Xenopus tropicalis: one gene and its partner. The protein of the gene in region 2 binds, or shares a complex with, the protein of the main gene of each other region. Links are inferred from orthologs where the notes say so. Each region holds a gene or a part of one and is shown on either strand. Other genes may lie near its edges. The genes, in order: ncaph and ncapd2.

The links.
Region 1: ncapd2 (region 2) and ncaph share a complex: the UniProt entries of both Homo sapiens proteins name them as parts of the condensin complex. The link is inferred for Xenopus tropicalis from reciprocal best matches to the Homo sapiens genes NCAPD2 and NCAPH.

Annotation. Positions count from the first base shown.
Region 1 is NC_030679.2:125,124,161-125,127,980, reverse strand, and holds part of ncaph (condensin complex subunit 2), read right to left. Parts: coding exon 3,631-3,820; intron 3,542-3,630; coding exon 3,381-3,541; intron 3,301-3,380; coding exon 3,197-3,300; intron 1-3,196. UniProt on the Homo sapiens protein: Regulatory subunit of the condensin complex, a complex required for conversion of interphase chromatin into mitotic-like condense chromosomes.
Region 2 is NC_030683.2:9,987,165-9,990,984, forward strand, and holds part of ncapd2 (condensin complex subunit 1), read left to right. Parts: intron 1-69; coding exon 70-244; intron 245-1,949; coding exon 1,950-2,034; intron 2,035-2,331; coding exon 2,332-2,465; intron 2,466-2,742; coding exon 2,743-2,875; intron 2,876-2,963; coding exon 2,964-3,048; intron 3,049-3,682; coding exon 3,683-3,820. UniProt on the Homo sapiens protein: Regulatory subunit of the condensin complex, a complex required for conversion of interphase chromatin into mitotic-like condense chromosomes.

The DNA of each region.
Region 1 (3,820 bases), on a different chromosome or scaffold from region 2:
ACTGGAAGTGTAGGTTGCGGTAGGCAAAGCGCAAGTATCTCTGATGGCGAGGGGAGATGGGGACGTGAAGATAGGCATCTTTCACGTCCAGTGCGGTGAGGAATTCCTGAGGGCCCATGGCCGCGATGACTGAGCGCAGAGATTCCATTTTGAACTTGGTGTAGCGAATAAATTTGTTTATGCCTTTGAGGTCGAGAATCGGTCGGAAGGACCCGTCCTTCTTGGGAACGAGGAAAAGATTGGAATAGTATCCCTGAAATCTCTCGGCCGGAGGTACTGGGGATATTACTGCGGCAGCCTGTAGGTCTTGGATTGCCGTCTGAAAAGCCTGGAGGAGGCGAGGGTCCCCGGGGGTTCTGGACATGAAGAAGCGGTGAGGAGGGGGGGCTGTGAATTCGAGGTGGTAACCTCGTGTTATGACCTCGCAAACCCAGGAGTCCTGGGCATAAGTCTGCCACTGAGCACGGAAGAGCTGCAACCGCCCCCCTACTGGGGCTTGCAGCAAGGAGACGGACGGGTAGTCATGCAGAAGTGGACTTGTCCGTCTGTTTGTGAGTGGGTTTCCGGGTCTGCCAGGCGGAGCGAGGCTTGTTGTTGAATTTGCCTCGGGAGGATGAAGATTGGGAGGAATCGGATGGCTTGGAGGATCTGTATCCGGAGCCACGAAAAAATCTCCCCCTGCGAAAGGAAGGCCGGGACTTGTTCTGTGGGAGGAAGGTGCTCTTCCCGCCTGTGGCCTGGCTGATGATCTTGTCCAATTCTGTACCGAAGAGTAACTTACCCTTGAAGGGGAGGGAAGTTAAGGATTTTTTGGAAGAAAGGTCTGCAGACCAAAGTTTGAGCCAAAGAGATCTGCGAGCGGCCACTGTAAGGGCCGAGGCCCTAGAGGTTAATTGGGCGGCATCAAGGGTTGCTTCGCAGATAAAGGAGTTAGCCTCTTTGATCTGGGACACCATGGGGACGAGTTCCTGTCTGGGAACTCCCGACAGAATGCTGTCCAGGAGAGTTTGGGTCCAGGACTGGGTTGCCCTGCTTACCCAAGCGGCGGCGAAGGTAGGGCGCAAGGCTGTCCCAGAAGCGGAGAAGGCCGAGCGCAAGAACCCCTCCAATTTTTTGTCCATTGCGTCCTTGAAGGAGGACGCATCAGGGACAGGAAGGGCCGTGTTTTTGGAGAGGCGCGACACCGGAGCATCGACGACTGGAGGGGAAGACCAGGTATCTATGGTTTCCTGCGGGAAGGGATAGAGACGCTGGAAACGTTTGTTGGACTGAGATCGCCTCTCAGGGTTATCCCATTCAGATTGCACAATATTATCTAGCTGTGCGTGTGAGGGAAAGCATACGGATTGTTTCTTTTGCCTCTTGAAAAGGAGCTTAGAGGCGTCAGCAGAATTAGAGGAATCCCCTAGATTGAGGGTATCTATGACAGAGGTGATGAGGGCCTCAATTTCCTCTGAAGATGACTTGGGCAGGTCTTCGCCCAACATATCCGAATCACCAGAAAGCTCACCCTCACTTAAAGATGCTTCTGGTTGAAGTGGTGAATTAGCCGTAAATGGAGTGTCGCTCTCCTCATCAGATGAAGGAGGTGCATGACGCTTATGTGCAGTAGGTTTAGTAGCGTCTAGCTTTGCCAATAGCTTGTTAAGGGAATCCGCTAGTCTGGGAATACCGCTAGAAAGTTGGAGGGCCCAGTCAGGGGCAAGCTGATTAGTGGCAGCTGGGCCTGTGGGAACCTGGTCTGGTGGCAGAGGGGCACCAGAACCTGAGGGCTCAGAATGATCCAAGGCCAAGGGCTGAGGGGCTGCAGAGGCAGTTTCAGAAGGTCTGCAAACCTCACAAAGGGGTTCCTTATGCCCAGTGGGCAGGCGCTTTTTGCAATTGGCACAGGCCAGGAACTTAATATTAGCCAAAGAGGCTGGGCCCCGAGGGAATAGCTGCTTGCTGCCCTCCGCCATATTTGCCCCCAATAGTGCCCCAGGAGAGACTGCGCTGCAGGGATAAGCAAGTGGAAAAGGGAGTCAGCCTACCTACAGGTAGAGCGATACCGCTGCAGAGTCCCTGCGCCGCGATGCGTGTTCTCCCCAGGAGCTGCGCCAGAGAACTGGTGAGAAACGGCGCGAAGGAGAAAGCGCTGGTGGGCGGGCGGTATGACGGAGGGAGCGCGACGGCGGAGCAGGAAGTGTTGGCCAATGGGAGCGCAGGCCTGTGCGCGCCCATTTCAAATGCGGAAGTGGGGGCCCCCGGCGCTTCGGGATAGGAAAGGCCCGGTGGACGGTAGGGGGGGGATGGGAGTACCATCAGCGCTGCTGTAGTAAGCGCTTACTTACCGCTGCGGCCCGGATCTGCCCCCCAGGTGGGTGCTCCCTTGGCTAGCCATCTATCCCCCTGGCGAGGGTAGGAATGCTGCTAGGTGGCCAGCGCCGCAGCGACTTATCGGCCCCAAGGAGTATCCAGCGGTGGAGGGGGGATCTGAATGGAACCTACAGATGAGGTCTAGATCAACCCCCCCAAGTGTCCAGGCTAATCCTGGACTTTCTGACCTAGGTGCAGGCAGTGAGCCTGGTCCTACCTCCTGACACTAGGAGAAAAAACTGAAGCTATAGAGGCTGCGCCGTGGGGTATAGCTGGAGAGGGAGGAGTCTCTTTTTTTTTTTAATTTCCTACCTAGTGTCCTGCCTCCTGCAGGTGGAGCTATACCCATTGTCCCTGTGTCCCCCAAGCTATTGGGAGAGAAAATAGTCTTAAAACAGAACCTAGATGTGAAGGTTGGCTAGATCAATAACTTTCTAATTAAACAGGCTTGTCTGTTTGTGTGAGCAATATATATATGATATGTACAAAAGTATCAGGACATATAATTGGTTTGGGAATATGATACTGGACAAGCAGGTGAATACTGCTGCACATCGTGCAGATACTATTGAAATTAGTCCATATAACTTCTAAAGGGCAGGCTACAATTATCATGTATGTTGTCTACAATGGAAACCCGGCAAATGCTGCCCTTGATAATTTCTAAACATCTCTAAATCCAGGATTTAGTCAATTGACTTTTTATCAATTTTATGTATTATGGAATTTGTGCAAAACTAGTAAAAATGTATTTAAAAGAAGAAACACACATTACTAGATAAAGAGATCAAGTAGATGAGAGGGGAGAAGTCTCTTAAAATATTGTCAAGTGATCACTCACTCTGGTTTTTCGAAAATGAACTTCAAAGTCAACGTCATCTTCAAAATTTAATTCAAATACTTTCTTTGCCTTCTTGACCTTCTGTTGGTCCGAGTCTGTGCTGGCTATAGGCACAACAGCAAATCGTTAATAAGTGGTGCTCCGAGTTCATCTGCGGTAGAAAAAAAAAGTAAAACACACCTACCTTTCTGACGGGGACGGAAACGCCAATGCTCGGGGCCTGCCCACATGGACATGGTACGGGGGCTGAAATAGGAATACTCCCCTGGACACGAAGACAGTTGGAGGCACATGGTACCAATGTCACCATTTCCAATTTGAGTTAGTTGTGGTCTATAAAGAGAGCTGGTTGAGATTAATATTTGCCTCTTTAGAAAATTCAAGGAACACAAATTACCAATAATCTCTATCATTAATAATAAAAATGAACATACCTTTTTCGTTCCGACCTGCAAGCCTCACGATGCTCAGCAAACTCTCTGATATCTCCAGCATCCATCCCATCACAAACATCTGCATCAAAATCATCAGCTACCGGGGCTTCTGACTCTGCAAAGTCATCCTCTACCTCTGCATTTATGTCAAAGACGTGGTCACTCTTTTTAAACTTGTCCATTAACAGTG
Region 2 (3,820 bases):
ACCAAAATTGCCAAATCCTGTTAACTTTTTGCTTTTAACCCACTCGTTTCTGTGTCTTTTGTATCTTAGTGGTGCAGGAAGTCATTGAGTTCTTTGTGACCGTGTCCCAGTTTGGAGTCTCCCAAGCTCTGCTTGGCGTACGTCGCATGCTACCCCTGGTCTGGTCCAAAGAGCCAGGAGTTCGCGAGGCTGTACTTAGTGCCTATCGACGATTGTACCTCACCTCGAATGGGGAGTCGGAGAGGTAACTGCTTTGTTTTGCCTTTCTCCAACACATAATGGATGGTGCATTTTTTTTTTAATATGGCTAAATATAGGGGGCCTCAATATTTTTTGCATGAACTGAAGGTCCTCAATGTCCTTCTGGTTTGTGCTTTAGTGCAGGGTGATACGTATGCTGGCATAGTTACAGGCTGTGCAAACAATTTAATAGGGTCCTTGCTGCAGGTATGCCTGTGGAATCCATAGTTATCCCCCCTATTCATGCCATTTCATGCCCCTTTGCCTACCTTTTTTTAAAGGACATCCTTTTTATAGTCTAGCGTAGGATTCTCATAAGATCTGATTGGGATGTGGCTGCTAGTTTGAGATTAATATAGTTTGGCAAGAGTAATCCTACAATTTCAGACAGTAACACTATAGAAGTAGGGCAGTATGGTAAATATATTCACCTATGGTCACCTCTTAATCTCCAACAAATACAAAGGGAAATAAGTGTATAGTGGCACTTTTACAAGGTATTGGCTCTTCAGTGCAGTATTTGTTTCTGTCCATGCAAGCAGGCTGTGACTAAACAGACCAGCATGCATTCTGCCCATTTTGATGATCCCTTTGCAAGATATAGATAATCAAAATGCTTTTAAGACCCCTATTACATAGTTACGTAGTTACATAGGGTTGAAAAAAGACCAGTGTCCATCAAGTTGAACCCATCCAAGTAAACCCAGCACACCTAACCCACACCTACCAATCTATACACTCACATACATAAACTATATATACAACCACTAGTACTAACTGTAGGTATTAGTAACACAATAGCCTTGGATATTCTGCTTGATCAAGAACTCATCCAGGCCCCTCTTAAAGGCATTAACAGAGTCTGCCATTACCCCATCTCTAGGAAGGGCATTCCCCAACCTCACTGCCCTCACTGTGAAAAACCACCTACGCTGCTTCAAATGGAAGCTCTGTTCCTCTAATCTAAAGGGGTGACCTCTGGTGCGCTGATTGTTTTTATGGGAAAAAAGAACATCCCCCAACTGCCTATAATCCCCTCTAATGTACTTGTACAGAGTAATCATGTCCCCTCGCAAGCGCCTCTTTTCCAGAGAGAACAACCCCAACCTCGACAGTCTCACCTCATAGTTTAACCCTTCCATCCCCTTTACCAGTTTAGTTGCAGTCTCTGCACTCTCTCCAGCTCATTAATATCCTTCTTAAGGACTGGAGCCCAAAACTGCACTGCATACTCAAGGTGAGACCTATTGATCGTTTGACGTTTTCCTTACATATTTCTTGGTACAGGTATGGGACCTACTATCCACAATGCTCGGGACCTGGGGTTTTCTGGATAAGGGATCTTTCTGTAATTTGGATCTCCATAACTTAAGTCTGCTAAAAATCATTTAAATATTGAATAAACCCAATAGGCTTGTTCTGCCTCCAATAAGGATTAATTCTATCTTAGTTGGGATCAAGTACAAGGTACTGTTTTATTATTACAGGGAAAAAGGAAATCATTTTTAAAAATTAGAATTATTTGCTTGTAATGGAGTCTATGGGAAATGGCCTTTGTGTAATTTGGAACTTTCTGGATAATGGGTTTCCGGATAAGGGATCCCATACCTGTACTAGTTTTGGCCCCCTGAAGAGTTGCCCACCCCTCCCAGAAAAGCAGTGCTTTGTGATTGTGAAGTTTATTGCTTCTTGTTTCACCTTTTTTATAGGGTTAAAGCTCAGGCCTTGGTTCGGAATCTCTCTCTGCTCATGGTAGATTCCTCCGCAGGAATATTGCAGTGCCTGGAGGAAATTGTGAGTACTTAATCCATCCAGGAATGTCTGGCAAGAGCGCTACACCTTGAGCATACAGCTAGATTGCACTTTTATTGCAATAAATTAACACCTCTGTGCATTTGGCTCATACCTGCCATTATACATCTGTCCCATATCCAATTTGGGCATAAACTATAAAAACCTGTAGTGCAACAGTTATTTTTTCACTCATTTGTTTATATGGACAGATTGTTGGTGGTAAACAGCTGTGTACTTGCTAGAACTTACAAAGCACATTTCACTATTATTGTGCCTAACTTGTTGCTTTAATCTTAGGTCTCAGAATTTATACAGAAAGGAGATATACACCCTACTGTAATACAGTTACTTTGGGAAAAGTTTACCCAGAAGTCTCCTTCCTCTGCCTTGGAGCGAAGGGCAGCAATTATGCTGCTGGGCATGATGACAAAGTAAGATATTGAGAAATACAGACTTTATTATTATTATTATTATACTCTAACCAACATCTAAATCCATTTAGTTCTCCATATTAGGGTCTCTTCCATATTAATGTCTCTGGGCTTTACCCTTAAAGTTTTGATGCCTTTGCTTTGTGCTGCCTTACAAGGAGTATCCTATGCTACTTCCCGCTTTGTATGTGGCTTTGTCTCCTTATCACAAATTGTTCCTTCAGTATATTAATGGCTGTCTGTTTTAACATGATGCTGTCTTTCTTTGCTCTGTTAGGGGGCAACCAGAGATTGTAATGAGCAACCTGGACACTCTGGTGACTGTGGGACTTGGGGAACAAGTGCAGGAGGATTATCAGTTGGCTCAGGAAGTGTGTAACTGCATTCTAAAGATCACAGACAGCCAAAAGGTAAGATGGGGGGGGATGCAAGGTGTTTCCATTTACTTGGCATTTTCATTGGTACTTAATGGAGACTGTTTGCTTTAATATCTTGCAGCCATCTCTGGGCAAGAGCACCGAGCCTTTCCGGCTCCCAAAAGATCACTCTCTATTTGTGCATCTGACAGAGGCTGTTGCCGGAGGTAAGTGTACAGTGTCGGTGCTTCCTCAGTTGTACAAGCCTCTGGGTTGTCAGGGTTATTCTATAGACTGTTATATATTAAAACCATTTTCTTTGTATGTGTTAATTTTTGCCTTTAGGAAGTATTTGCCCGATGCTTTTATATAACCTGTCTGATTCCCCCCCCATGTTCCTCTGAGGGGACGGCCATATTTGTGCAGCAGGAGCCCATTAGCATTAGAAGCTATAACTGCCAGGCTGAGAAGGGACAGCCTATTCTAAACATCTTTCCAGTTGGTCTTCATTTTTTTTCTTGTCATTTTTGTTCTCTGCCTTTTTCTTCTAACTCTTTGGAGCTTTCAGATGGGGGTCTAAACCTATTGCTTATTGATGCTACAGTTTCTTGGGTTTTTTTATTGTTCCTTTTTTATAACTTGATTTTCTATTCAGGTCTTGTCCTATTCATATACCATCCTCTCATTCATACTGCTCCCTGGTTGCTAAGGTAATTTGTACCCTAGCAACCAGGTGCCAGCTGCTGCACAAAAAGTGAAAACTAAACCTACAAATAATAACATAATAACAAATGAAGATACTTCACTACTAGCTGGTAGTGAGTTTAGTTGATTGGGCATCTCTGCTTTTGTATAATGTAGGAATAGGCCTGTCAGGGCTGCACTGGCTTCCCTTCAAAGAGACAGCAGTGAGGTTGGTGTATGAGCTTGGAGAGGAACCAGAGGAAATCTGTTCAGAGATTCTGCTGCGCTGCAGCCACAAAGTCCTGGATGGGCACC